Linked DNA regions of Arabidopsis thaliana. The protein of the gene in region 3 interacts with the protein of the main gene of each other region in a pairwise test. Each region holds a gene or a part of one and is shown on either strand. Other genes may lie near its edges. The genes, in order: DAZ1, AT1G19490, AT1G70030 and AT1G77250.

The links.
Region 1: the proteins of AT1G70030 (region 3) and DAZ1 interact in a two-hybrid assay, tested with the Arabidopsis thaliana proteins (one large-scale study listed by BioGRID).
Region 2: the proteins of AT1G70030 (region 3) and AT1G19490 interact in a two-hybrid assay, tested with the Arabidopsis thaliana proteins (one large-scale study listed by BioGRID).
Region 4: the proteins of AT1G70030 (region 3) and AT1G77250 interact in a two-hybrid assay, tested with the Arabidopsis thaliana proteins (one large-scale study listed by BioGRID).

Annotation. Positions count from the first base shown.
Region 1 is NC_003071.7:7,474,698-7,481,231, forward strand, and holds DAZ1 (C2H2-like zinc finger protein), read right to left. Parts: upstream 2,987-6,534; 5' UTR 2,951-2,986; coding exon 2,138-2,950; 3' UTR 1,965-2,137; downstream 1-1,964. Other genes in the region: AT2G17170 (Protein kinase superfamily protein), read left to right, coding at 39-332, 402-537, 858-985, 1,065-1,134, 1,204-1,289, 1,386-1,577, 1,661-1,741; AT2G17190 (ubiquitin family protein), read right to left, coding at 3,575-3,723, 3,806-3,895, 4,040-4,068, 4,458-4,513, 4,616-4,729, 4,814-5,016, 5,312-6,058, 6,436-6,534. UniProt on the Arabidopsis thaliana protein: Mediates the regulation of male germ cell division by DUO1.
Region 2 is NC_003070.9:6,749,061-6,757,268, forward strand, and holds AT1G19490 (Basic-leucine zipper (bZIP) transcription factor family protein), read right to left. Parts: upstream 5,014-8,208; 5' UTR 4,900-5,013; coding exon 4,618-4,899; intron 4,391-4,617; coding exon 4,211-4,390; intron 4,121-4,210; coding exon 4,043-4,120; intron 3,937-4,042; coding exon 3,871-3,936; intron 3,788-3,870; coding exon 3,722-3,787; intron 3,637-3,721; coding exon 2,893-3,636; 3' UTR 2,484-2,892; downstream 1-2,483. Other genes in the region: AT1G19485 (Transducin/WD40 repeat-like superfamily protein), read left to right, coding at 101-232, 398-470, 614-653, 766-838, 924-989, 1,132-1,209, 1,303-1,475, 1,563-1,609 and 2 more; AT1G19500 (uncharacterized protein), read right to left, coding at 5,892-5,913, 6,256-6,476; RL5 (RAD-like 5), read right to left, coding at 7,423-7,450, 7,956-8,208.
Region 3 is NC_003070.9:26,375,841-26,382,968, reverse strand, and holds AT1G70030 (Paired amphipathic helix (PAH2) superfamily protein), read right to left. Parts: upstream 4,329-7,128; 5' UTR 4,137-4,328; intron 4,114-4,136; exon of another isoform or gene 3,785-4,113; coding exon of another isoform or gene 3,752-3,784; coding exon 3,621-3,751; intron 3,527-3,620; coding exon 3,343-3,526; coding exon of another isoform or gene 3,313-3,342; exon of another isoform or gene 3,305-3,312; intron 3,027-3,304; coding exon 2,931-3,026; intron 2,850-2,930; coding exon 2,778-2,849; 3' UTR 2,590-2,777; downstream 1-2,589. Other genes in the region: AT1G70040 (transmembrane protein, putative (DUF1163)), read right to left, coding at 1,061-1,337, 1,432-1,736; AT1G70020 (transmembrane protein, putative (DUF1163)), read right to left, coding at 4,816-5,095, 5,202-5,599.
Region 4 is NC_003070.9:29,017,905-29,026,808, forward strand, and holds AT1G77250 (RING/FYVE/PHD-type zinc finger family protein), read right to left. Parts: upstream 5,571-8,904; 5' UTR 5,428-5,570; intron 5,093-5,427; 5' UTR 5,035-5,092; coding exon 4,780-5,034; intron 4,167-4,779; coding exon 3,864-4,166; intron 3,648-3,863; coding exon 3,558-3,647; intron 3,461-3,557; coding exon 2,540-3,460; 3' UTR 2,272-2,539; downstream 1-2,271. Other genes in the region: AAE2 (AMP-dependent synthetase and ligase family protein), read right to left, coding at 54-1,691; AT1G77260 (S-adenosyl-L-methionine-dependent methyltransferases superfamily protein), read right to left, coding at 6,057-6,255, 6,347-6,424, 6,523-6,645, 6,723-6,980, 7,130-7,289, 7,380-7,490, 7,582-7,852, 7,950-8,099 and 1 more.

The DNA.
Region 1 (6,534 bases), on a different chromosome or scaffold from region 3:
TCAATATTCTCTCTGCTTTTGCCGGCGAAAACGAAACCATGGGTGGTTGTTGCTTCTCGACGCCTCTTGATAACAATCAACAACCTCCACAACAGCCACAGATTCCTCCCGGCGAACGCAAGAACGACGGATTCGTCAACTGGCCTGTCACAGAGTTCTTCCTCTCCGATATCACCACGGCGACCAATAACTTCAGTTCCGACGAGATCATATCAGAGAACGCAGAAGAATCTTCCAATGTTGTCTACAAAGGTTGTTTATTAGAGAATCTTGGCTTCGTAGCTGTCAAGAGATTCAAGAATACGCCTTGGGATGATCCTGACTACTTCACGGTACCTTTTCTTTGCTTTTAAAGGTTATCAAAGTTTGCAACGTTCATTTGATCTCTTTTGTTTCTTCAGGAAGACGCAAAAACAGCTGGGGAGCTAAAGCACAAGAGACTTGTCAAGTTGTTGGGATATTGCTGCGAGGAAGATGAAGGACTTCTTGTTGCAGAGTTTATGCCAAATGATACTCTTGCTAAGCGTTTATTCCAGGGTATGATTCCTTCTCTTCTTTCGTTTTCAGATATAGAATTGGTGAATATGAGCTTAAGAGTCTGGATTGTTAGTCGATCTGTTCTATAGATGTATGTGCTCTGTTTTGAATCTTGGCAGAGAGGCTGCATTGTTGGTTTTTGTGGCATGATTGTGGGTGTAGAATGGTATAAACGTATCTGAAGATAGAGAGAGTGCATTGTTGTTGGTTTATGTGACATGCTATAGAATGGTGTAAATGTATCTGCTTGTAGAATTGATTGAAACAGAACTTATTAGCATTCTCTGTTTGAGGTTTCTTTTTTCTTTTGTGATGCACAGAGAAGAACATGGAATGGTCAATGAGGTTGCGAGTGGCGTATCATATAGTTGAAGCATTGGATTATTGCAATTCTGTACGTTTTGACGAGTACGATAATCTAAGTGCTTACACTGTTCTGTTTGATAAGGTATGTTAAACAACATTTTTCATGCCTATGCCTTGTCATGTGATCTAAGGATGCTAAACTGTTTTTACTGGTGTTGAAGGATGGTGATGCCTGTCTTTCTAGTTTCGGCTTGGTGAAAGAGATCATCCGTTACAATCGAAGAGAAGGAGGTAACCAATTCGCTCTTGTATCTTCAGACTATTCATATCAGAATGTAATGTTTTATATTCTCATTGTAGGGAACGTGAGGACTGGGAATGTGACATACAGATTTGGTACTATCCTTGTGAATCTGCTAACTGGATTGCAAATTTCTCCGAGCCATGTAAGTAATTCTGTTCAAGCTTGACTTTGTGGAATCCTTGGTTTCTTGCAACACAAGTTACATTTTACTGAGTGGTTATTTATCCTCTGTTTCTAGGCTCCTGAGATGATCAATGGAAAGGATGTCACTGAGCTCATGGATCCAAATCTGAAGGGAAAGTTCTCTACAGAAGAAGCTACTATAGTTTTAAAACTCGCCTCTGAATGTTTGCAGTGGAAGGGTTATATAGAGAATGGCATCACTAAAAAGCTTGTTGCAACACTTAAAGCCTTGCAGGCTAAAAAAGAAGTAAGGAGGCTTACTGTTACAATAATTTCATCCCTGAAGATTTTTCGCATTCATGTTATAAAACCAAATCTTTTTGCTTGTAGATTTCATCTTCTGAAATGCATGAAGTAACAAAGCAGCACGATGTGGCATCATCTTCGAGTCAACAACAACTTCCACCCTGAATCTGCTAATAGCTTCAACAAAGTAACTCTTCTCGAAGCAACATTTTTAGGGAAGAAGAATCTTGATTTTCTCACTTAGTGTACTGACACTGTGAAGAAACACCATAATCCATGCATGATACATATACATGTATGATCAAACAATATAAACTTTTTACATAGGGAAAAAGATTCAACGTTTTAAACTTCATAAAGCTAATTTCTTGAATATTGGACATTTAGTAAATAACTCTATTTGCATTTCATAAACTAATTAACTTATATATAGAATACAATACCACAATCCTATACGTTCATCATACAAAGTATCACACATATATACAGAGAGAGTTTTTTGTTAATTAAGAGAAAGAACCAAATACCCAATAAATATATAAAACCTTAAGTTATCATATATCAAAGTCCTAACCTAAGATCCAAGGAACAACCTAACGTTGTGTCTGAAGATGTCGCCGCAGGAACATTAAGATCAATGCCCCTGACTTGGTTCTCTTCCTGATCTTTCTCCCAATGACATCTCATGTGACCTCCTAACGCTTGACCACTGGAGAACACTCTAGAACAGATGTTACATCGATGATTCATCCCCGAGACCAACTTCACACTCTTGCCCTTATCTTGATCAACGATCTCTTGAGGAGGTGGAGGAGGAGGATCTTCGGTTATGTTTTTATTGGCGAAACATCCTTTGACGTCTTTATGTGTTGCTCTATGTCCGCCTAACGCTTGATGTGACCCAAACACTTTCTTACAACCATCACACTCAAACCGTTCCTCAACTTCACTTGAACGGGTTGGGACATCACCATTAGCCATCATTAGTAAACAGGAGGCTATGTTATGCTCTTCCTCAGATGGATCCCAACTCGAGGATGATGACGCAGCGTTTGAGTTGATCCTACGTTTGAAGTTAGAAGGAGGGTTGATGCCACGCCACTGACGTTCAGGGTGACATCTCATGTGTCCAAAGAGTGCCTTCAGTGACCCGAATTGTTTACCACATTCAGTACATGGTCGTGCGATTTGTGAAGCATCAGGGTCCGGTTGCGTGACCGGTTTAGGCCTTGGAGAAGACGAAGAAGAACCGACTTCGTTGTTGGTGAGTTTAGTACGTTTTCTTCTTGGGTTTTGATTGTAACTAGGAAGAGTTACATTGGAGGAAGCAAATGGGATATCGGAATTGGGATCGGAGTTTGAAGTGTTCGACATTATTATTGAGTCTCTTACTAGAGAGAAGACAGAAAAACTAAAAGAGAGGAAAAAAAAAAGTAGAAGAGTGGGAGTTATGGTTGGTTAAGTAGAAGAAGAACAAGTTAGTTTTCATCGACGGTTTCTTAGCAGTTACTTCTCCCTGTTTTGTCGGATTTACATTTCTTTTTTTGTTTTCCTCATAAGTTTTGTTTTTCTTTCAATTATTATTGTATTTATCTTTGTTATTCGAATGAAAAACTTAACGCTCAATCACAAATTATCAACGTCACTACAGCTATATTTAATAAGTAAAATGGAGATAAGAAAACGTAAATGTAACCATTCCACATTTCGAAATCAACTTCTACAGATGTACGAGGTAACAACTTCAAATAGAATCTGAAAGATAACAGACGACCCAAAGTATGTAAAAAAGGTTGTGGGGATTGGGTAAAGAGGAAAGAAGATGACCATTGAAAACAAATAGTGTATCGATGAGCGGCTTTTCTATCCACAAGTTCGCGATCCTATCATAAATGTAGTTATACGAATTCCATAAATTAGATTACTGAAAGAAAACACATTGTTTATTCTATAATTGAGAAGCCAGAGTGGAGTGATATCAGTTCACGAACCTGTATGTTACTGGCCAATACTCCCCAAGAGTCGTTCTACAGCAGCGTTAACGTTACCATTGGTTGCAAGCAAAGCCCTTATGTTCTCTGCTCTGTCGTAGAATCCCATTTCTTGCAACTGTTGCAACTGAGTCGCAAATCGCTCTTCAGGAGGAACTGGAATCAAATAGACATGTTTCAGTGGAACCATCTCAATAGATATATAAGAAATCAAAGTATAGCCCCTAGTGAATCTAACCATTGGGTTGGTTTGTGCCACTTAGGCCGCCAGCACCAAGGCTGCCAAACATATTCATCAATAAATCTAGTCCTCCGTTATTGGCTGTCCCTATAAATATTTCCATAGTAGTGATTTACTCAATAAGCAACGTAATGAATATACGATTAAAGTAAAGCAAAAGAACAAAAAAAAGCACACTGTCTAAGTGAACTAGTTGAAGCCTTCATACTTCAATTACAGATAATATAGTACCTGTCGCAGCACCAGTTTGCGTAGGATCCCTACAAAGAAGATGGATTGGGAACATGAATAGAGGTTGATGGAAATCAAGATCACTGATATCAAATGTTAAAGGAAAGAACCAAAAAAGAACGAAAATTTTTATGCTCCTATTCAAGTTTATTTCAAGGACTAAAATACTTTACAGCCGTTGATAAAGGTCACTAATGATCAGCCCAGTAAAACATACAAGAGTTGCTGCATTACTAATGATTCAACCCATTTATTACTTAATATAAGATAGTTCACCACCGAGAGAATTACCTGGTTAGCTAGTGACACTATTTTCTAAACACAGATCAACCCAAAATCCTATTATGATATATAAAGGACATTACCTACTCAACTAATGTTCCAACTAAAGAAAACAGAAAAGGGTATCCAAACTTACTGGCCAGCCGTGTTCCTATTCTGAGAGAAAAGTGATTGTTGTAGAGACATCATTTGCTAAAAAGACCAAAAAACAATAGAAAACATTAGGTCGGAGAAATTTGACTACTGAATGATATAAAAATAATTATCTGGAGAGACAACATGGGCCCAACTAACCTGCATCATCTCGGGAGAGCTAAACTGGCGAAGGAAATCAGGGTTCTGCATCATTTCCCTCAACTGAGGATTCATATCTAGCATGCTTCGGAGTTGTGGGTTAAGACTCATAAGCTGGAAATGAAGGAAATATTAAAATATTAAAGACAGCCTCACAATAGCTACAATGTCTAAAATTCAGATTACTGAAGGCGCTACCTGATTCATGTACTGTGGATTGGAAAGTACGCTTTGCATCATCTGCGACATAGCGGGGTTTTGCAGTATTTGGCTCAATTGAGAAGCATCTGGAGTCGCACCAAGAGGTGAGTCCGCTCCCAGCATACCGAGTCCACCAAGGCCTCCAAGCCCACCAAGACCACCAAGTCCAGCATTTGTCCTTCCAGGGGCAGTTGTCTGGCCTGTCAAGTAGCCCCACAATATGTTCTAAAATCTTTAGTGCATTACGAGTAACAGTTAAACTAGAAACAAACAGCCAAGAAACTTATTCATAGACAAACTAGTCATAACAACAAACTGTGAGAACATGAACTCACCAATTATTACTATAATCAATACTATTCCTGACCAGTGTGGTAAACATAAACTTTCACTTCTTAAAAACAAGCCACTCTTGCTTTTATATTTAATATTTCAACCTTAAACTACAAGTAAAATCCCATATGAAATTAAGAGGATGAGAATACAGTTTCTTACCAGCCGTGGCACCCCAAGGATTAGGAAGTGGATTTGCATTAGGTGTACCCGTTTCAGCATTCGGTGCCGAAATATTATTAGAAGTATCGCTTCCTTGTGTAGTAACCCCCTGGTTTCCCAGAAGAGCAGCAAATGGATTAGAGCTCGTATTGTTTCCAGCATTCTCGGACATAGTGGTAGCATTCATTAACGGTTCCTGGACATTTTCATACATACGCCTAAGCATGTTAAATCCCTCAGGCATAGACTCAATATTACTCATAGCCCTATCAGTATTTCTCATCATTTCACGCATAAGCTCTGGGTTTCTCGCCGCTTCTAGAGTTTGACGAAGGATGCTTGGGTCATTGAGCACATGACCAAGCTCAGGATTGCGATCTACAAGCTCACGCATTTGAGGGTTATTCATAATCATACTCCTCATAAATTCTGGGTTGTTCATAAGATTCTGGATGGCTGGAGTATTCATCATCTCTCTAATCATGTTAGGGTTCTGAGCTAGTTGTTGCTGTGCCTGCTCAAGATCAGGAAGACCAGATCCAAATAATCCAGCCATAGCATTTCCACCACCCAAAGGATTAAATCCAAGGCCAGGGAACAAAGATTCACCTCCTCCGAGGTTTGAGCTATCATTTGAACCAACCGCTTGAGGAGCAGTGGTTTGGTTTCCAGCATTTGCAGCGGGAGCAGAAGGAGAAGAAGGCACAAAACCTCGAACCATATGAACGGTGTGATCAGCCTGCAAACCTATATATAAAATGGTCCACAGAGAAAGGAAACATTGAGGCTCATGATGCAAAACAATAAAACGTGGAAACTATCCAACACAATCATATCAACAACAGCCATTGATGGAGAAAATATACATCCCAAGAAGATACATGATCATGAGAACATTAGGAACTCTAAGAATGGTATGAATCAATTATCGTATCACTAACTACATCTCCTTATTCTTCCCATAGAAGGATTAAGCATACATCAAAACTCATAAAATCATCCATGCTTCTGTAAAAACCTAACATAAATCCAATGTTCCAACCCCCTAGAAACCCTATGAGATTTTCAGTCAAATTAAAGCAACGGAACAACAGAAATGAAACACGAAATGATCAGAAAATTACCATAGCTGAGGAGAGTCTGATCGTCTTTGAGGATACGTCCCTTGTAAATCAAACGCTGCTGATTTGCCGGCACATCGCTGTTCTGCGCAATTAACTCTT
Region 2 (8,208 bases), about 20 Mb from region 3:
TTTTCCCTTCTGCTTTGATTTCTATCACCGTATGCCATCTGCAATGATGTAGCACCTTTCTAGACTGCATATACTCTGCAAAATGAACGACCTTATGCAGGTGGGATGTTCCAATGCCTAAGGCAACATCAGCTCTATATTTATCATCAAAGAAAGCTGCGACTGATCCCCGTTTTGTGAAACTGGCTCCCGTTTTCAAATGTTCAAACTTGAAGTGTGGCGACACAAAGAGGTCAGTAAATTTCTTCAATATTTCCAGTTTTTGCTTGTTTGGTGGAATGAAAAACAAAGCAGTCCTTCTATGTTTTTAAGAGTTGAATATATAATTGATTTTCAGTTTCCTTATGCTTTATCTATTGGCTTTCTCTTGATATGGTGCTCCTCTATTTTTATACAGTATTCCTTTGACAGTTGAATGGTCGACTTTAGGGAACCCTGATTTCTTACTGGCTGGTTGCCACGATGGCACGGTAATTAGTAAATTATTTCACTTTCTTCACTGACTCTATCATATTTTTGTCTCTGTTTTCTTGCATATGTGTAAATGTATTCAGGAACAAGAATTGCAGTGCTTAATTGCGTTGACCCCTTTATTTTTGTTATCTTGCATCAGGTTGCTCTCTGGAAGTTTTCTACAACCAAATCTTCAGAAGGTAAGACCTGATATGTTTGTCCTGATGCCAGATAGTTTCTTTTCACACGGTGGCCAGAGAAAGTGATTTCATCTGTTGATTTCATATTTACCTTTCACGTTTTTTTGTGCAGATACAAGACCTTTACTTTTCTTCAGCGCAGATACAGCTCCTATTAGGGCAGTTGCATGGGCTCCTGGTGAAAGGTAGTGACGTAAAATCACACCCATAAAATCAAACTGTGAAGAGGATTCGCTTATTAATCAAAAGTAATTTCTGAAAGTTTTCCAGTGATCAGGAAAGTGCAAACATAGTAGCAACTGCTGGACATGCTGGTCTGAAGTTTTGGGACTTACGGTACACTTCATTAACCTTATCAGCTATTACATAATTTTCTTTAAACTTTGATGCTCATGCAATTAATTAACAAGACTGCACTGTTTATTCTTTTATTTGGCTCTCCATAGCTTCTTGCTTACTTCCTATGTTTTTTCTGCAGTGATCCGTTCCGTCCTCTGTGGGATTTGCACCCAGTACCAAGGTTTATTTACAGCCTTGATTGGTTACAAGATCCAAGGTATCAATCACTGTTCTATCCTCAGTTGATTATACAGTCTTTAGATCAATGGTTTGAAGTCCTGCTTAAACATGTGGTTTCAAATATCTGTAGCTGCGTTCTATTGTCCTTTGATGATGGAACATTAAGAATCCTAAGCTTGGTGAAGGTTGCGTATGATGTTCCTGCTACTGGAAGGCCTTATCCTAATACAAAACAGCAAGGGTTAAGCGTTTATAACTGTTCAACTTTTCCCATCTGGAGTATTCAAGTATCAAGGCTAACAGGTAAATGTTCTTTATGGGCTTGTCTTTGTGTTCAAATTCGTAATCATCGGTTCATCATAATAAATAAGTCAAAATATAACTTCTCAGGCATAGCAGCGTATTGCACTGCAGATGGGTCCATTTTCCATTTCGAGGTTTGCATAAACTGCACAATTACTTCACCTCTTATGTTCTTTGTCAATTTCTTTGAGATTTCATTTTGTCTTGTTGGGATTCCTTACAGCTTACGACCAAAGCAGTGGAAAAAGACACGAGAAATCGGACTCCACACTATCTCTGTGGACAGTTGACAATGAAAGATTCCACCTTCATAGTGCATAGTCCAGTTCCAGACATCCCGATCGTATTGAAGAAACCAGTTGGTGAGACCGGTGAAAAACAGAGATGCCTTCGAAGTCTCTTGAACGAATCTCCTAGCCGATATGCATCTAACGTTTCAGATGTTCAGCCTCTAGGTCAGTTGAAACCAGTCTAAATTAGACTGTCTAATAGATCAATCTCCGGAATCACTTAGTCCTTACCTTGAACTGGTTTACTTGATCTTTTCAGCTTTTGCACACGTTGAGGATCCAGGTTTAGAGTCTGAATCCGAAGGAACAAATAACAAAGCAGCAAAATCAAAGGCTAAAAAAGGAAAGAACAACGCAAGAGCAGAGGAGGACGAGAACAGCAGAGCACTGGTCTGTGTCAAAGAAGATGGCGGAGAAGAAGAAGGAAGAAGAAAAGCAGCTAGCAACAATAGCAATGGAATGAAAGCAGAAGGGTTCCCGCCTAAAATGGTGGCGATGCATCGTGTGCGGTGGAACATGAATAAAGGAAGTGAGAGATGGTTATGTTATGGTGGAGCCGCCGGGATTGTTCGGTGTCAAGAGATTGCTCCAACCTCAGATTGGAAACCTCGGAGATAACAATTAAGTCCCTTGTAACAATACACTTATATAACATCTTCAAGTGTTTATTCCAAAAAGAAAATTAACGTAGGATTTTGTATTAAAAGAAGATTATTTGCAAGAAACTGATTCAATTGAAGAACTTTTTGATTCTGCGGTCAAAAAAGGGAACAAACCCTGAAAATATGTTATAGAACTGATCAAGACCGGAACGGAACTTCAAGCGAGAAGCAAACAGATTCCGGATGATCTTACAAAATGGCACTTTTAACTTTGTGCCAAATAACCCTAAATCTTACAATGGTACAACATTTGCTATTACCTTGTAAAAACAAAACCAGAAACTCCCGAATACTAATCTTGGATAAGTATAACAATAATCCAACTTTTGTTTGGTGGATGAGTATGACTCTTTGTTTTGGTGTTTATGTAAGAAAGCCGAAACAATGCGAAAATGCCCCGGACAAAAAGAAAGGGATCATGAAGTACCTTCAGTGTTTTAACTGGTAAGATGAAGAATATATGAGTTATCCGACCTGCATCCGACATTGACGGCCATGGAGGTTCTTGAGCCTTGTGAGTTCTTTCCGTCTCTTTCTAGCTTCCGCTGCAGCCAACGATCCATGCTTTTTCTCCGGTAGAGAAATCAAAACATGATGACCAGGCGGCATCAGTGTAACTCCATTAGTTGTCTCAGAAACATCTTCATGCTTTAAACTATAAGCTTGCTGCGTTACAGGAAATCCATCTCCTCCTTCTGAGAGGACTTCAGTAGCAGATTCGTTGAGATCATATAAAGGTCTGGTTTCGGGTGAACCAGAGTCCTCTTCTTTGATTCTAGTTGGTAGATGGGACCGCGGAGTTTCTGTGACATCCATCGGTCTTGCAGAAGAATCATCGATATGGTGCCCGTTTGAAAAAGTACCTCTTTGTGTATCTTGAAGCCCGAAAGGAACACCATTGCTGTGATCAGGAGGAGGGAGAAACCAAGGGCAAGGTACAACGTAAAAGTGAGTTTTTTGCCCATTATCATCTGCAGCATTTTCATGCTCCTGCGTGGTAATAGTTTTAGCAGAAGCTCCTCCCGAAGTAGGGAATTCAAGTGGCGATATCATTGGATTTGATGATTGAGTAACATGAGGCCAGCAGAAAAGCTGATATGGATTCTGGTTGTAGAAGTAAAACGGAGTAGATGATGTAGACATCTCAACTTGTGATGGCTTGGGTGATTCTTCAGGCTCTTTTGTATCGGGTTTTACTGACTTCAATACCTATTAAAACAGACGGTAAATCAGATATAGCAGTGTGAGCAATAGTGCTCCTGATACTGATATGGTCTTTGATAGATTGTGTAACCTGTTCCTTTAAATGCTTGTTAATCGTCTCCAAAGACTGAAACTCTTTCAAAGCCCAATCCTTTTCCTACCACAGCAGAAATGTCATTAGCTATAACAACGGTCTCTAAGGTTCACTCGATGGAAACGTAAATCGAATAGTTTACTCACCCTCCTCAAATTCTCATTCTCATATGTCAGATCAGCTGCTTTTTTACTCAACTCCTCACACATTGCCTGGATATATACGGTATAATTAATACTTAACAACACTAGTCTACTATTCAGCTAATTTTCCCAATATGGACCTTGTTGATAGAAACAAGGCATCAGTAAACAATACCTGTCTTCGCCGAATTGTCTGCCTCGCAGATTCTCTATTAGCTAATATCCTTCTGATTCTACGTTCTTCTCTTTCAGCCTAGAGATTAGTATTAGCAAAAGTAAGTTCAAGTGTCACAAAAAAAGAAATATGGTAGACAAAACTTTTGGCCTTGTAATAATCATATACCTCACTTAAATTCTGTCTTGATCGGCCACAACCATTTGATCTACTACACCTTATTAGAGTCGAAGCAAGAATTGGTTTAGGTGTTTCACCATTGATTTCAGATTTAACCGGAGCTTTAGTTAGTTCTTTAGTTATTGGTTCAACTTCTTCTTCTTCCTCTTCTTCTTTCACTAATCGTTCCTGTTTTAGAAACATCTTTTATTATCATCAGATTGTTTTACCAGTAGCTTACTAATTGTAACATGTTATTCACCTAATCAGTGCAATCACTATTTCTATCTATTCAAAATCGATTATTTGGATCTAAAACATAAAAGTTTCACAATTCTAAAAACAGAATCAATGAAAGTGAGGTTCTTTGAAAAAACAGACTAATAAAAAAAATAGGGAAAGCGAAGAGACAGAACCTCAGCTAGATCCGGAGTAGGTAACGTATCAGAGTCAGGTGGTTTCAAAAGCGAGTCAGAAGGAGGAGACTCAGTCTTGACTCGCTTCCTCACCCGTTTCCCTTTACTTCCCCAACTCGCTGCAGATTCGAAAACCTGCTCTCGCATTATCGCAAGCTGCGCTAAATCCGCCAATGCTTCTGCCGCCTCCATCTCCGTCATGTTCGCCGCCGCAGTATTCTCCTCCCCAGAAGAAGAAGAAGACGACGAGCAACAACTCGATGATATAGGCTCCAACTCCATCGACAAACCAAAAAAAATTCAAAACCCAAAAGATTTTCCCAACAAAGAAAAAAAAAACGTAACCAGAAGAGAAAAAAAAAAAGGTTATAGAGAGAGAGAGAGAAAAACTGTAACTTCTCTCGAGAAAGAGAGAGAGTGGGAAAAAAATTGCCAAAGAGGAGCCCACAGAGGGTGAGAGAGCGACACGTGTAATGCCAGCTCATCGTCTACAATTGGTTGCTTAAGTATAGCCCATGTATCTGTGACCGCCACGTCTCGCTTTTTGTTACCAAGTCAGCATACTCGGCACGTGCGGAGTTGATTCGTGCGTGCGAAGCCGAGAATTGGGACCGCCGCGACCTCAGAACTGGGAAGAGGCGCAGAGTTTAAGATTTGCAAGGTCGGTTTTGAGAGTTGCTCAGATTGCGACACGTGTGGTGGTTTTATTGGATATTTACGTGGCGACGTCTGAGCCATGAGATTCAGTGGTGAATAATTACGGCTGAGGTTTTTGGGTGCATCCACCAACACACAATCATTTTGGTTCTAGACCTCTTTGTTGGACATATAAATGGGCCAGGTAATTGGCCGGTTAATAACAACTGGCCCGTCGCAATCATAGTTGTGATAGTGATTTACGGTTTTATTAGTTGGAGAGCTCATGCATGATAGATAATTGTCACAGTTTATGGCCGCCTAGTCTCTAGAGCAAGTTTTAGAACATTGCCACATTGGTATAGATGTTAACGGATATAGAAATGGGCCTAGTAATGTATGATAATGGCCACATCCTTGTGAAACTAAACGTTGTCGCACATATATTTCTTGAGAATTATGCGGTATGATAAGAGGAATAATCAAGCTAATGCATTTTGTTTAAGAGATTGGGTTACCGTTTACATATATATGCATTGAAGATTAAATAAATATAATCAGTTACACATAAGTCGATTTGGGACCTCTTTTGGTATTAAACACACCACAACTTAAAAGAATTTTGTGCATTCCTCCTTTTAGAAGTGGATTCCCCATTCCCTGAAGAAAGATAACAAATCATATATTAAGGAGGGATTATGGAAATTGATTATTAAAACAAAATTGGTGCTTACAGTTGATAAAATCATAAAAATTTAATGTTTAACCTAGGCAAATTACTATTAAATAGATACAGAAATCATGGTATCATCAAATAGATTTATAACGCCATGGGTTTCTGTGGTGTTTTGTATGAATTATCATGTTACTATATATCGAATTTAGATTCAGTTTTTGTGTTGTGGTGTTGTATCGTAGGAACTAAAAATTAAAGTTACGGGATAGTAAAAGTGATTTTTGTACCAAAAAGATTAAAAATATTCAAAAGAATCGTAGACATACTTGGCTTTATCACCGAACCATCCGTAAACGGATTTGAAGGTGGATGATACGGTGTCGACGGCTTGTGGGCCGCCGTGTTCATTGAATGCATCGGTGACACTCGTCATGGCGGAGTCTACCCTCTGCCCAACCGTTGGTTCTTCCTCGGCCAAGATATCCACCGAGTTTATCGAGACAAGTAGCATTACCGACAACAGCACGGCCACCGATATTTTCGCCATCCTATCTCCGGCAAACTTTTTTGCTTCTTCTTCTTTTATTGGTTTATAAAAACAAGAATGATTTAATAACTAGAGGTAGCTCGTAAATTTGTCTTAAGCTTGTAAGAAACAAAAGTCTATTTGTTTACGTACGTGTTTTTCGTGTTTCGTTTGGTTTAATTTGAAGTTCCTTATTTATATGTGAAGGAGATTTAAAATTTGGTTTTATTTACTGGTGGAACGATCCAACGTTGGTAGTGGTTACGCCGAAAATAGTACGACGTGAGATGGCTTTAGTTTCATGCCAGTTCCAAATTAAGCAACAGTTTTATGGTTTTCGATTTCATTTTTTTTTTGGGTCCATATAGTGAATTGGTGATATTCGTTTCTTTTAAACTTTATTATAAATGCTTTATCTCTAAGAAATTTAAAACGTTATAAATGTATGCAATTACATGTGATGTTTAAGCTTTAGTTTATTTTATAAACAAAAGTGATTGTTAAAATATTTATCAAAGCTCTAGATCGAGATGCTAACCAGCTGATGATTGGTTGGAGGATTTTGCAGGGGAATATTCAAGTCTTTGCATTTGGGATTTCAATCATGGTACAATGTATACGTTTTTAATGGTAAAAATACTCTCATTTTCAACAAGTTTTGGAAATTGAGATTACGAAATGGAAATCAGTTGTTTTACTAGGTGGAATAGATGTGAACCAACTATACTGTATAATGATAAATCCCCGTCCATAGACAAATTAAAAAAATAAGAATTTGACAAAAATAGATTAGAATTATAAATAAACAAAACCAAAATAGCTAGATGATTTGTTGTGAAATAAGATTAAACAGAGCAAATAAGAAACACAATGAAAAGGGAATGATACACTCATCAGTATAAGAAAGAAGAAAACATATCCCTTTGAATCCTTAGACATATAGCAATCTTCACATCATGTAACAACTTCACTGGATTCTCATATTCTTCATTAACCTGTCAAAAAACAATAGATTAATTAATATAACTTGACACTAAGATACCACTTTTGTTGATCACCGACCAGTGAAAAATCAGAATCACTTTTGCATTAATATATACCGTTATATTTAATCGTATTCGAATAATATAGAATTAGCTAGATATATACATATATAACATTATATCATTCATATAAGATTCAAAAGTTGAGGACAATGTGCATGTGATGGTGCACAAACAGGATTAGATTTCATGTGACTCCTTTCCTTTTAATGAGAATGCCGGAAATAGAAGGGATGGTGCGTGTGGTTGCATGTTTCTTATTATTATACCTATATTATTATTATTATATAGTCCAACGTTCATCACTAGTTTTAATATACTACTACCAAAAGAACTCATTTATATAATCAGATTTTGAAATTATTTGAACTAAACATATGTTTCTACTAAATCACTATAGAAATCACAAAAACGACCACAAACTCTAAAAGATTTGGTAAGGACAAAAAGATTTCACCTCAAATCAAAATCATCGATGCCTCTAGATTTACTTCCAACATCGACGGTTTTGTATTTAGGCAAAGGTACTAAGTCTTGTTCGATGTTCATGAGATCTTCAACGAGGATGTCGTAGTGACGTTTAACTTCCTCTGCAGATTTACTTCCAACTGCTTTAGCCACGTTTTGCCAACGGTCGGGAGTGTCTTTATCGTAAACGGCTAAAGCCCTCTCGAACATCTTGTTTTGCTTAGACGTCCAAGAAGAGCTCG
Region 3 (7,128 bases):
CAACAGTCAAATGATTAATATAAAAAAATAAAAATAATAATAATAAGAATAATAAATAAATAAAAAACGGTAGAGAAACATATATCGATGATGGAAAATAAAGAATTGAAAAAAATATGAAATACAACTTAGAGACAGCCGTTGCTAGGTTGCTTATAGGTAGAGTAACCGGTTATAGCCGGTGAGGTTAATTGGGGGATTAGGGCGCAGCAGAGCTAGAGGATTGGATTTTGGTTATTTTGGGACCTTGCAATTCGGGTTTGTGTAGTTCGGTGATTTTGTTATTTTTGGGTGATGGTGTGGGTATAATAGGAATGTTAGGAGAATTTAACTATCAATGTCATGTGCTACAATTAGTAAATTCGAGGCTTTTTATGATCTAGAAAGCATTTTGCCAGTTTTGTTTTATTTATTTATTGAACTGTTTTATTTCATGTATAGGCTATATTGGTAGATCGTAGATATGATTATGGATCATTTAAGTCGTTTGGTTCTTTAAGGTGGTTTTGTGATTTGTAATTTTTCTAGTTTAAAGTAAGTTTTCAACTTCTAAGAATCAAATAATTCCAATGAAAAAATCATTTCTCTCGTGTCGGTTCAAATTTAGTTTGTCAGTCGGACTTTGCTAATACTCTTTTGAATTTTGATAGGTAGGTAAACTTAAGATGACTATGTAGATGTGGATAATTTTTGGTGACATAGAATATGGTTATCTAACAACAAAGTGAAGCTTCAATCAAATTGGGCATTTGGTCTAGTGGTATGATTCTCGCTTAGGGTGCGAGAGGTCCGGAGTTCAATTCTCCGAATGCCCCCTTTGTTTTACACTATCTTTTTAATTAATCCTACGTACACTTTTACTTCCTTTCCAGTTTTCTTATCTTTTGGGCCCAAATATTGGCATTTTCACACATTTTAGTTTTAGCGTTTGTTATTGTCGGCCCATTATGTACCTACACGACCCAACTTCTCTCGTTTATGTTTCCCCACTCTCCGAGTCAAATTAACATTGACGCCAAAATATAACAATGAACTGGCATGGTGATGACATGGACTTTGGTCAAACATTGATGCAGTTTGGATGGTCCCCAAACATTGTCGCCTTCATCTCAGAGCTTGGCTCGAACCGCAAGGTGGCTTCGTCACACTCATAACTCATAACTCCTGTCGTTTTTTCTCTACAATCCGTGAGAGAAAATCGCGATCCGAAGTGTACTTCTTTCCTCTCTTTGACATCGTTAATAATATTTTTTCCAATCAAACCGCCAATATCTACTTCGGAAACATTAGCTGAAATCTTAAGAAGCTGAGGATTGAAGTATTTGAGATTGTAGTATCTGATCATATACAAGATTCAATTAGTTTTGAAAATACGAACGAATTAAGGAATTTAAAACGGGTTTAAAAAATAGTAGGAAATAGATTCATTACTTTTGTGGGGATGAGGTAGCAAGAGTGACATTCTTGTAAAGCAAGGAAGCTTCAAGGTCTCCTTGAAGACATATATACTTACCAGGAAGATCATCAGGGATCCTTATCGACAAATCCCATTTTGCATTAAGACGAGTCATTGTAATATTTTGCACCGTGAAATCCATTGAAGCTAACTCTATTTTCGGCACCGGGATTTTGCCAGAATTGTCTTTTATCATCAACAAAACCAGACCACAAATACCAAAGGCTATGAGAAAAGAAACGAAGATCCGCACTCCTATAGATAGTTCTTCGTCTGCCATTCTAAGTGATTGATTGAAGAGAAACGAGGAAACTATTTTGGAGTGCAAAAGGAAGATGAGACAGTTTAATAAAGATATAGTTGTTAAGGAAAGATAATTTTTAAGAAAATGAACTTTAACCTATACTTAATTATATGATATGTTATTAAAATTTAGTTAAAGATATAGTTGTTTTTAATTAATTAAAGTATTTCAAAACAATAATTAAGTATTTTCTTATTTTTTCATTTTTCTCTCTCTTTTTTAAAATAAATTTATCCTCCATATCTTATTTCAAAACAATAATCTCAAACTTGCTAACTCTCGTGATTGCAACAAATATCAATTAAATCATCAGATTTCACCATGTATAAAATCTAAAAGTTTTGAAATATTTAAGATAAAAATATAAAAGTTTGTAACTGTATTAGAAAAGAAATTTAGACAAATAAAGTAAAATAAAAACCATATATTAAAAGGGTTATAGAAAAAAAGTTGTAAAAGTTCTTTATCCTACAAAAAAAGTCTGGTTTTCAAAATTAATAACTCACAATTAAAGATGAAATGAGTAAACGCATCAGCTTGGATTTTAAAATCTGATAGCTTCTTCCCTGCATTCGACTTCTCTCTTGTTAGCATTGCATCTGATAGAGCTTTGGCTTCCACAGTTGAGCCACCTCAACACCTAGGCAATATTCTTTTGTTTGTATGGTTTGGTTCAAATTATCTTCTTGTACCGTGTCGGGTTTGTTGTCGTTTATTTGAGAATTTGTAATTCGCCGTTTGTTCTTTTAATTAGTGCAGCAACCTTTAACCCAAAAAAAAAGGTTTGGTACATTCTCACTAAGCATAATTATATTGTCTTAAGTAAATTGATAAATAATTTGTGTATTATCCATAATATTCAGTTTAAATAGTATAAAACAACTTGAAAAATTGAGTACTAGTTTTACCAGTTCAGCAACAAACTAATGATAATCCCCATTGAGTCAAATGGAAGCAGATAAAGTGGCTTTGAACCACAACTTGCATGGCTTCATTGTATACATAATTCATCATTCTTCATCCATAATGTGGAAGAAAGAGATGAAATTCCTCAAGCAAGTCTCGATGGCCTTGAAAAAGGATAGCCACCTACAAAATAATACATTACATTAAATCCAATACAAGAAAGATGGAAAAAGAAAAGGTAGTGAAACATATATATATATACACCTCCTGGTAGAGCTCAGCAACGCTCTTGTTTTCCTTTTTATGCGTTTTCAAAACCTCTAAAAATGAGTTGAATACATCATTGTTCTGAAATCTTGTCTACAGAAAAAATGATATTTAAGAGAAAAGTAAAAAAAAAAATTGTACAGAAAAGAGTAATATAATTTCTAGTAGGGCTGCAAAATAAACAGCAATAGAGAATACAAATGATATAAACCGAAATATTTACACCGAAACTAACCCTTAATTAAAACGATAAATCTGATATCCTAAATTTTAACACTAAAATCTAAACAAGTTTATTCATCTCTCTAAATTTAAATGACTAAACCTGTTTTTTATTTAGATTTTAGATCTTTTGGATCAAAATAATCATAATCAAACTCTAATTACTAGTATGATTTTGCCCAACTACCTTGACCTTGTTGACAAATTCATATGCTTCGTCAAAGTGAGCAAACTTCGAATTTGACGTAAGTTCGTCATCACTGAGTGTTATTTCAAACCCCGTTGGCAAGAATGTGTTGAAACCTAAGAGAAGCTCTGGTTGCCCTTTGAAGAGTTCTTTCACTTTTGATATGACGTCACATGTTTTAGCTCTACAATTAGTAAAAAAAAAAAAAAACAGTTTACCAAAACTTTATATAACTAAGAGCTGAAACTATTATGAGGGAAGAAGAAGAAAAAAAATACCTCTGACCTCTGAAATCCTTCATGATCGTAAGAAAACTATCATATATTTCACGATTATCTTGATATTTAGTTTTTACAAGATGGAGGAAATCAAGTGCATCGGTTGTAGTTAGCTTCTTATTTGCAACCATGGTTTTGAAACTGACAACTGGCAAGTGCTTCATTATCCAGAGGAAGAGAAAATAGATTAATGTTCGACTCCCAATATAAACAACTTTGAAAATCAATACAAGTCTTAAATCTCAATAAACGAATTCAAGATATATAAGTTCAAAGAAAAATAATCGAAATTATCCCAAAAATTCATACAACCAGCGCAGATCTAGCAATTAGAGTCATAGAAAACATTGCAAGGGAATTTACAGCTATCGACCAGAAGATTTGAATCTAACTTACTCCTCAGATTATGTCACACTATATTTTGATCTAAGAATTTCAGTATAGAAACAAGATAGGATCAAAGTGAAGAGGATCGATCAAAGTTCGCTAGGACACAAGTATTGATGGACACGTTACCTCACACGTAACAGGCTTACAGGAAGATACAAAAGACTTGACAATTGACACAAAGAAAGTCGTAAGGTTTTAGGTTTATAAATAACTACATGAGTCATATAAAGATACTTAATATCACGTACGTTAAACATAATCTTTTTGTTAACATAACGATTCGATTTTCTCTCCTTTATATGGATTTTTTACTCTTTTTCTTAATATACCAAATACTACTTTTATGAGTCTTATCCAATATTTATAGAAAGAAAAAAGTAGGCCTTCAGATTAAAAACAAAATTGATAAGTCCAAACCGAAGTTTGTGCAAATCGGTTCTAGTTTGGTTATTAGATACAAACCAATCGGTAGATTTGATTTCGAAATTTAATTATCGGTTCGGTACGTTAAACAGACTAACTAAATAAATTTTTTAAGTTGATGTAATGATTAACTTATGATATTGATGTAGTACCATATGTTTAAATAGAATCTTTTTAAAAAATAGTATCTTACTATGAGAGTATAATTATTAACGAAAATAATAATACATTAGAACAAAGTATATTCCATTGAAGCCAAAGGAAAAAAAAACAAAAGCGCATTGTGTTGTTTAAGTTCTTTCCTACGATATCAAAAGGCAAAAGAAGAAGATCCAACATATGCAAACTAAAACATAAAAATCATTATTGATGAAAATTTTACTTAAGTGTGAATATAGTGGCATATAGGAGCGGCGTTTTCAAACGCAGTTGCCTTCCTTTGAGAGCCAGGCTCAAACCGAACCGCAGTTTCATCACACGTATAGTTCATCTTCCTCCCAGATCTACAATCCGGAAGAAGCAACCTCGATCCGAACCGCATGTCTCTTCTTTCCTTTATATCGTCCATAATGTCTTTCACAACAACACTGTCCATATCTCCCTCAGAAGCAATTACCGATGAGGTATTAAGCAGCTGAGGCCAATTTGGTATCAGATTGTAACTGATAGAGCATAACACAAAAAAGTTCAAACAAAAATATATGAACAAACGAAATTAGTTAAAGAAAAAAAAAAAAAAAGAGTATTGAAATTTTTAAAAAGTGTAACCTGTCTAAGGATGAATTAGCAATGGTAACACCTTTGTAAAGTATGAAAGTCTGCAAATCTCCTTTGAGACACATATAGTAACCAGGAAGATCTGAAGGAAGCCTGATCACTAAATCCCATTTAACACTAAGACTAGTCTCGGTTAAATTAAGGACTGTGAAATCCATAGATGGTATTATAATATCCGGTGCATAGTTTTCTATACGTTGTTCTTTACGCCGTTTTTCACGTCGTTCTTGTGCTGATTCAGAGTAGGCATAAACGATAATTGCAGCGGTTGCGATAGCGATCAAAAAAACCAAGACACACGTGAACACATACTTTTTTTGTCGTGGTGTAAGTCTATCCCATAAAGTGGTGGATTTAGGAGCTATTATTTCTCCGTTTTCATAATCCATTGAAACCCAGAGAGAGACGGATAGAGAGATGTGTATATGCACCAGATTTATGTATCTTTTTTTTGTTAGGGTTATTAAAGAAAAGAGTTGGTATATTGTTCTTATAAGAAGATTTCGATAATTACATATCAAATTTTTTAAAAAGATTTCGATAATTACATATAAATTTTTAGATTTTGGTAAATAACTTTCTTTTCGCTAAAGATATTTTAGATTAAATCAAATAGTAATCTTAGCGTTAATTGGCTATGAATCGTCGGACAGAGAAAACTTCTCAAAGGATAGAAATAGGTTCTTTATGTTGGGCTTTAGATCGTTAATGGGCCATAAAACGTTAAGACTCGGGACTTTGGGAGTGCTCCAGCTTGTTTGGCTACGAATCAAAGAAGCAGGCTAGAACGAAAAATAAATCATATGATGATCAAACATAGTATATTAGTTTTATTATCGGCCAAGATGCTGTAATTTGAGATGTTTCTTAACAACTTTCTATTATCACCTCGCTACAATTTTACCATTCTTTACCGCACCAATTTTTTTTTTTAAATAGCCAAAACATTTATTTTTGTTTACCAATTCGTTCAATAGTGAAACTTGAGTGAAATTTTTATAAACTTTGTTTAGGGAGAAAGTATTAATTGTTAAAAATTCTAAATAATACAGAAAAAATGTTGGATATACGAATCATACCATGGATAATTTAGTAGCACCTTATATTATAATCTTCAGAATATTTTGTAGCATTAGAGAGATCAACTAAGAAAACAGTGTTGAATTCTATAATTAATATTTTGAAACACACATTAATTTGTTTAATTTTTTTCGTACCGCCGCATCTCAAACTAAAAGTAACCAGTTGTGTATACCAAAGTATGGTCTAGTCATGAAGATGACAATTAGAAGCAACTAATCAACACCTTAATCTTTTCTCGTACTTGATCTCGTATCCCAACATATATATTAATTATCTTTCTTTCCCTCACACACCACACGTACATGAATATGTATATAGTGTATATACTTTTTAAGTAATGTATGTCGAATTAAACTCCAAGAGAAAGATATTCGCGTGCTTTACAATAAGATATACTTATAAATTCTTACTTATAAATTCTTTTAAAGGACCTAAAAACTGTTTTTTTTTTTCAGGTTTTGGAATGCCTTTACTCTTATGAAAAGTAATTTCGAATTATCCGTACAATATAAATTAATAAAGTAAACTTATGGTTCTATGAAATGTTATTGAGATCGACGCTTATTGTAATTTATACGTAGGTTCTATGATATGTTCTTGAGATCCATGATTTCTAATGTACGCGCTGCAGTTACATAGGTTTTACCGATGAACAAATTTCTCATATTCATTGTTGTTCCCAGATTTTTATTTTGTATTTATGGCAATAAATTTTTTTAGTAAGATTTGCTTAGATTGACTCAACTCTTAACATAAATAACTTAAATGACACACGTTTGGTTTCAAAAACTGTAGTAAGCCATATCTTTGGTAAAAAGACGAAATAACCTTAATG
Region 4 (8,904 bases), 2.6 Mb from region 3:
AGAAATTTGTAGAGTACAATATAATAATAACAACAAAGCAAGAACGTTCTTCATCAAGGCAAGGACTTAGCCATTTGTCTGAGAAGAAACTTTTGAATCTTTCCAGTAGAAGTCTTTGGAAGCTCTTCCAGGAAAACCACATTCCTTGGAACCATATACTTTGGCAGCTTGGTTTTACAAAACTCCCGTATCTCTCTCTCAGTCACAGACCCGTCATGATACTTCAGGCTGACAAATGCACATGGAGTTTCTCCCCACATCTTGTCTGGCTTAGCCACCACAGCTGCTTCCTTAATTGCGGGGTTTGTGTACAGAACTGCCTCGAGTTCCGTGCTGCTGATGTTCTCTCCTCCGCAAATGACCACATCCTTTGATCTGTCTTTGACTTCCAAGTAACCGTCTGGGTGCATTACTCCAATGTCTCCGGTGTAGAACCATCCGTCTTCTCTCATACTTGCTGCGGTGCCTTCTGGGTCTTTGTAATAACCTAGCATGACCGAACCGCCTCTGAAGACGATCTCTCCCACAGTTGCTCCATCATGCTTCACGCTCTTCCCGGATATTGGGTCTCTAACATCGACTTCCGCGAATACTGCAGTTCTAATTCCTTGCCTTGATTTCTGTTTTGCTCTCTCGTCTGGTTCTAGACGATCCCACTCAGGCTTCAATGCGCACGAGACAACCAGACCGCCTGTTTCTGTCATCCCGTAACCGTGACTCACGTCGAAACCAAGCGCCTCAGCCTTGGAGATGACTGTAGCTGGTGGTGGAGCTCCAGCAGTCATAACCTTAACTGGGCTCTGAAGCGGTTTCTGGGCTGGGTGATTAGTCAACATGTTGAGAACCATTGGCGCAGCGCACATGTGGGTCACTTGATACTTGTCGATCAAGTTGAAAATAGTCGGCACATCAACTCTTGTGACACAGATGTTTCTGGCTCCCACAGCTGCTGTGGCCCATGTGTAGCTCCAACCATTGGCATGGAACATCGGCAGTGTCCACAGGTATACCGGACGGTTAGGCAAAGACCAGTCTAGCAAAGAGTTAATAGTGCTCATGAAAACCGATCTGTGGCTATGCACCACTCCCTTTGGGGACGACGTAGTTCCTGAGGTGTAGTTAAGCACCATTGGAGTCCACTCGCTTTTAGGACGTACCCACTTGAACCTCAGGTCTCCTCTCTCCATAAACCCTTCGTACGTGTCAAGAAAATCCATATCAGCTGATGAAGATGATGGCATGTCGTTTCCGTCGTTGAGTATGACGAGACGAGGTCTCTCATCCTTGGGCAAAAACGAGACAGCTTCGAGGACTAAAGAGCTTGAGTGATGGTCAACAAACACGAGCTTGGATTCGCTGTGACGTAGAAGGACGGAGAGTGCATGAGCGTCTAAACGTGGGTTGATGTTGTTGAGGACTGCGCCTGACATCGGAACTGCGAACTGAAGCTCGTAGACAGATGGGACGTTTGGACCAATAACAGAGACAACTTGGCCGCGGTTGATTCCGAGGGAAGCGGAAGAGAGAGTTGAAGCTATACGGAGACATCGAGAATGAGTTTCAGACCAAGTATGAACAGTGGTTGTGTGGAGGAGTGAAGGAGAGTCGCCGAAGACAGAGGCGGCTCGTTCTAAGAAGCCAAGAACAGTGAGAGGACATGAGTTTGAAGCGTGTGGGAGTAAAAGTTCCATAGTCGAATGTATTGATTTTTTCTTTTGTTATGTTTTCAACTTCTGATGGTGCATTGGTGAAATGAATTATATATTTTTCCCGATGTGCTTAGGTAGAACAGAAATCATTAACTTGAAATATTTTATTTTGAACTTAGGCTGCTTGGGTAATACATTTCTCTTTTTTTGGGCTCAACAACTAATTAGCTTAGGCTTCTTGGCTAATACTTTTTTCTTTTTTTGGGCTCAACGGTCATTTTTTTCAATTATCTAAGTATTGAACCATCTATTGAAGTGGATAATACCGATTATAGAAAAAGATTGATCGATTGTTTGCCCCCAAAACAAGAAAGATTGAGAGATTTATTTTGATTGATTTGAACATCTAATAGTAATAAGTGAAATCTTATGTTATTTAACTACTGTAAATATTTTAGTTAAAATCTTATCTTGTTCGATGAATTAATCACATGTTATATATACCCTTACGGTCTATGGTTGGTCGGCCTCGTAACAATAATACTCATTAAGCTTTTTTTTGTTGTTGTTTGAGTTTTTACTCGTAAGATATTGTAGAATAGATTAAATTTATAAGAAAATTATCCGATGAAGCATCATCTCTTTGGTCAAGAATCAGTTCATTATAATGTTAAACAAAGTGCAAAATCAGCAGATCAAAAGGGCACTGTTGATGAAAAGAATTTACTCTTAGAAGAAGGTTTACCCTTCAGAATCCTTTGTCTTGCTTTCAAAAGTTAGCAACCAAACGAAAACAAATTTGTGGAGAAGAATCAAATATTAAAGTGTTGAAAGTTAGGTAGATGAGACAAGAAGCTGTATTTTGCTTGTTTGCTTATCAATCCAATCCTTCATTTGATGGATTGGAATGTCATCTGTTCTTCATCTTTCAGTGTGTCAGCTGCGTTTAGAAGCATGTCCATTCCTCCTACGCTTTGATCCAATTCTCCATTGTCTTTACTTTGCGGTTTGCCTTGGAGATTCTTGGGTTTTATTCCTTTCTGTTTCTGCACCGTCTCCATCTTCTTCTCAAAAGCCTTTCGTGCTTTTTGGACTTTAAGAATTGCAGCTTTACATGCTGTGCAAAACCATTCTCCATTTGGAACCGATTCACATGGAGGTCGCATGCAATAGATGTGATATGCATCATCACACCCATCACACAAGACGATTTTATCATCATCCTTGTCAGTTAGGCAATTTCTGCATAAGCATGACGAGCAATACCAACGGACACCGTGTAGTTTTATTTGCCTTGAAGTCAAGCACCTGATGTGGTAATACTTGTGTGGGCAAAAAGGGTGATCACATGTTATATACTTTCCGCCACTATCCACCTTTGTTCCACAGGTCCTACAGAGTTCAGAATCTCTACTCATCTCTACGTGGTGCACCTCATGATTCATGTTACAGCTTGAATTCTCTTCAGATTCGTTCGAATCCTCTTTGCATTCTGTACTCGTATCAACAGATCTGTTATCTGTCTTCATCATCCCTTGGGTTTTCATTTTTTCACACACTACACAATTCTCATGAGGTGATCCGATTCCCTTAGATGTACAGTCTAGACAATACCAACTGTGTGTTGGCATCCCTTTCCCACCAGGTTGTGCACACGAGACATGGTACATATCTTCACAATGATCACATGCTAAACAGTCTCTTGCCTCTGCCTTCTCTCCACATAGCTTGCAAATGTCAGAAACACTGTCATTTCTGATGTTCTCTGCATTAGGACAAGGCTTCGATTCCCCAGTGTAGAACTGCTTCAACTTCCAGATTTTGAAATAAAGAAGATATTAGAGGATTGATGGATAAAGTTATAATAAGATAGCACCTTGAAGAAGATCATTTATGCCTGACCCTCACCTGTTCCTTATAGGAGGTTCTTGAAAGCTCTAAGAGACTATTAGCAAGAACAGCCATATCATTACCAACATCCTGCATTTTTTGCCAGACCTGAAATCAGTAGTTAGGTTTAGTTCTATGTCTACCTTCAATCTAATGCATAATATGTACTGAAAACACAACCACATTCGTCAAGCTAAGAGTTTGTGTTCAGCTTCCGAACTACGGCATCAGACTATATTTTTCACAATGAAAAGAATAAGAAAGACATGATAATCTGTTTTCATGCATATTTATCTTAGACTAAGCATGATTTCCACTAATTACCTCTTGGAGATCCGTTGAAAAGAGCAGAGGTGAACCTTCATAAACACCCTCTTTCATCCTGGTGTCTATCAGAGTTCTGCTCGTAAAATCATCAATCTTGACCCCTTGAAGATTTTCGGAAAGTAACCTATTTAGGGATGCAAACTCCTTTGAAGCTAAAACATGGGACAGAACATGCTGGCAACCGGCTGTCACCGTCTCATGATTGGTGGATTCACTTGATGGTTTATTTGGACTGGGAGGCTTCGGGAGTTCACCAGTAAGATGGGTTCTTATGCTAAACCTTTCATAAGAGACAGACTCCTGTGAAGAAATTTAATGAAAAAATTAATCCAAAACAAGAAAGAGCTAACATGTTTTAGGAGCATATTCATGAAAGTAAATCATGAACACATGAGTTGATCACACAAATATAACCTGAGACGAAGTTCAGGAATGAATGCATGATTTAGCAAACTCTAGTCAGGTTTTCAATAAGCACAGTATTAACAGCACATATGGATTTTACTACTATTTGCAAAGCGTTTCCTGAAACATAGCTATCACACACTAGACACCAATGTAGCCTGAACAAAATGAAGGGAACAGATATATAATCGCAAAATTGTTACTTGAATAGCCATACGAATATAAGCAGAAATGACCCTTCTCTTTAGCTCCCTCAGCAACATGCTGAGTAATTGAGGCCCAATATTCACTATTGAAGCAACTACCCAACCATCACTAGATTTATAGAGATCCTAATATACATTACTTAGCCAAGGCTCTAAAATAAACCAATAAACTAAATTCACAAAACATATAACAACTGAGGTGAGCGAAAGTTGCAAAATGCTAGCAACTACATATACTCCAGCATTTTAAAACCAATCACAACAAGAGGTGGTACCATAATAGAAAAAGGCATGAAAAGTACCCGGCTTTCTGAGTGACTAACACCTTCCATGGAAAATCTATCATTTTCCGAACATTTATTAGCAGAATAAGATCTCCCAAGTTTTCTCCGCTTATATGTTTGTATCTTCTTACTATCTCTGGAACTAGCATTTGCAGAATTAGCCATAGCACCACATCCTGCACTCCAATTATTCAATGCTTCACTTTCCACCAAACCATTTGGCTGATTATGCTCTGTACCTTTACCATTACTTGTCGCCTCCTCCATGAACATCTTAAACAAATGTTTTGATCCTCACACAGTGGAGCTAGGGTTTCACCAATCTTCCATCCTACAATAGACAAAACAGAAACTTGAGTCCTTATATAACCCACAAACGAAATCTCATATGGAAATGTTGACCATTGGTAACAAACTATCAAAATGTCTTCGATTTTATCACCAAATAAACCATCTAGAAATTAGAAAAAACAATATCATTCCAACAAAAAGCGATGAAATTGAAGACTTCTCTACCATAATTTCATCAGAAAACAACGAATTTCTAGATACGGAAACTTCAATGGAGCTTTATCTAGACACTACAAAAGACGGAACAAAGCTAAATCCAAATTCAAACCTCTAGCGAAAAAACCGACAAGAGGGAAAAAGAGAGTAAAACCGTACCAGTGTGAAGAAATCTGCGTAAAGAACCGACGAAGAGCAAACCCTAGAAATTTGAGGAAGAGGATTGATTTACCGGCTCTCGGAGATTAAGACTCGCCGGTGGTTCTGTAAATCCCGGCCTTTCTTATCTTTGAATCATTTTTAAACTTCCGCGTCCCTTAACCGGTATATTTTTCAACTTGGATCTGAAACCGGTCAAAACCGGTAATCAGTGACGCGAAACTGACACGTGGAAGTAGTAATAAAAACCGCGCCGGAGACTCACGGTGACGGAGTCCACCACAGTAACAGATTCGTGATGTGCACGTGCTTTTAGTTATTCCCTGATCAAAGAGTCACAACCGTCGGATCTCAACTTTAGCAATCCAACGGTTATAACTGAAAGACACCCACCATTCTCTGTTTCTTTATTTCACACTTCTCTCTGTTTTTTTTTGTCTGAGAAAATGAATCTTTTTGTTACTCATGTGTTAAAGTAGCTCAAGTGTATTAACACTCTTCATTCTTCAACAATCAAATCAACAAACAAATAAACAATAATACAATTATCAATTTATCACTAAGAAGAACTGTCGCTTTGAGCAGACTTATCATCACATTCGATTTCGTATCTTTTCTTTTTCTTTTCCTCATATCCGTTTATCGCAGATGAGAATCCTAACGCTTGCGTGGGGTCCTTCCCCGGTATCATGAACACCAGCAGTCCAACCGATGGCTTTAGCCACTTGCTGAAGTTGGTCCATCAAAGACAGTGAATCCCTTATGTAAACATGTCCTCCTGGTCTCAACATCCGGTCCATCTCCAGCATAATGTTTGTTATGTTGCACCTATGTTCCACAATTCATTACCCCAATCAAGTTCCTGACCTTTATTTTTGGATTCAGGATAAAAAGAAAAACGAAGTTTAAATCTTTTTACCTCTTTTTCTCAACAGAGAAGAGAAATGCAGCATGTATCAGATCATAGGTTCTTGGGTAGGTGTCAAATGGCTCACACCTAGAGGAAGTAAGTGAAAAAAGCTTTAAATGTGATCTTGTGTAAGTTAAAGTTATGTGGGATTAGAAGCAAAAGAGCAGAAGGTTATCAGTCTGTACCAGTCGTGCATAGCCCCTTGTAGTCCACGGTCATAAATAACTGGCAAGGTGTTGAATCCGCTAACGGGAACAATGTTCATAACCCAACAGTCAAGCCCCAGATCGTTTAATGCTGCTGCAAACCTACCAAAATCAAGAAATACTAGATCAAATAAACTTTGGTAAGGCAGAAACAAAAAAAGGGTGTGATTGATGGTTACCCTCCAAAACCAGCTCTCATGTCCAGAACATTCCTCAGTTTGAACTCCTTCCAGCGGAAAACCCGCACATAACTCTCTACTACTTCTAACCAAAATCTAGACTCTGCCTTCATAATTTCCTTTCGGGATATGTACGCATCCATTTGAATGCTTTGTAGCCTCTCTGGCGGATCATGAAGACGTGCAGGCCATGTGGAGACATTAGCCCCATAGCCATTATCAGGTAATCGGGTGATGCACGGTTTCATATCTACATACCTGGAACAGGAAACCATAACCACAAAGTTGAGATTTTTAGAAAGTTTTAATTGAAAAGCTGAGAATTTGGTGGTTCTATCATATAATGTCTATGCAAGAAGGCTCAAAACTATTAAAAAGAAACTAGATTTTCAGATGCATATATGTACCAAACATCATCAGGATCATCATCAGGTCTGCACAAAGGAGGTTTTGTTCCAGCTTCGCGACTGACATAGCAGCTGTTGTTTAGAGGCTTCCTCCACACAGCAATATATCCCTCTTTCTTGATAAGCTCCCAACAGATTCGATTCGTAAGGTCTAACATTTCTGAAAAAGATAATCAAAGCGCAGAAGCAACACCCATATTTTAGTTAAACTCCATAGCAGACAAATTATTTTGTTGAATAATATACAAACCTTTCCACTGCTCTTGCAAGTTATCCTCATGTTTGTAAACGGGTTGTGCAGCCCAAACAAAGTAGCCTCCTGCTCTAAGCATTCTATTAACTTCAAGAAGAAGTATCCCATCTGTGTAATTCATAGAAACAAAATGCTGTAGTCACTTACTATGCTAAAGCTCAAATAACATTAGAGGAGAAGCAAAAAGCCAGAAATTAACCATCGCGTGTCCAATTAATTCTGCATCTGGAACAATGAATCATCTCAAAAGACTGGCTTGGATACAACAACCTCCGTGTGGCAAAGACAGCCACCATCGCAGGAACACCACGCTCCAATGCAAACTGTATCTGATTCTCATGAACATCTTTTGGTGCTACAGACAAGGTTGTCGTGTTACGCTGCATCAAAAACGCACCAAAGCTCGCCACACCACAGCCAATGTCCAAAGCAACACGGGTGCGTGATCCAAATGTAATATCAGGAATCATCTGCAAATTTCAATCTAAGAGAATATAAGATCAACACAAAAAAAAACAGATTAGCCAATACACCAAAAAAACAGGTAGGAAGAATCAAAAAACAAACCTGGGAGATCTGGTCTAAGTACTGATCAGCTCCATGGATGAATTGAGTTCCACCTCCAGGGAAAACAAACTTATCTTTCTCTCTTCTAATCCAATTTTGACCTCCTTTATCTTCCACTAAACGTGTATGAGGCACATTATTGAACCATATCTACAAAGCACAAATCAAAGTTAGTGACTTTACACTTAAGGCTTAGATAAAGGTAAGAACTTGATCACACTATTTCACCTTGTCTCTGCTCTGTGGCCATTGGATTGGTTTCTTATAACCATCTGGAGGTGGAATCAAGCAATCTAAGCTCTGTTTAGGACAATGTCTCTCGTAATTTTCTCCTCGATCTGTATTGTTCAATCTCTTTATCTCTTCTTCGTTGTCTAAGCAAGGAATGTAATCTATCTTCGTCTTGTCACACAATTTGAGTTTCTCAATCTGAAAACCGACTTCCGGCGATTCTTTTTCCTCAACCGACGAATTTCCGGTGGCTGATTTAAGCTCGTCGATGGAATCTGGATCGAATCCGCCGATTTCGAAGGAATCAGACATGGCACCATTCTCGTTGATGATACCTGTTCTCACCACTGTCGGTGGAAGCGGAGGAGGTGATATTTTGAGACGAGGACGCGGTGGAGGAGATGGTGCCACCGCCGCGACGGATGTTATGTTGGTTTGAATAGCTTCGGTGACGTTTGAAGAAGAGGAGATGGGAAAAGGAAGAGATGGATAAGAGAAGGAATCTGAGAAGTGATTGAAGAGAAAAATTGTTGAGATTGAGAGAAACGCAAACGCAATCAATTTAACCAATCTCGGAGTTTTGACAACGTCTAATCCAACGTCGGAGAGTTTCATGGCGGTTTAAAACGCCGGCGATCTGATGATCGCTACAGAGTAAATTACAACAGATCGAGCAAAACAGAGAGAGAAAGGTGGTTCCTTTTTTTCTTTCAGAGAGACGGCG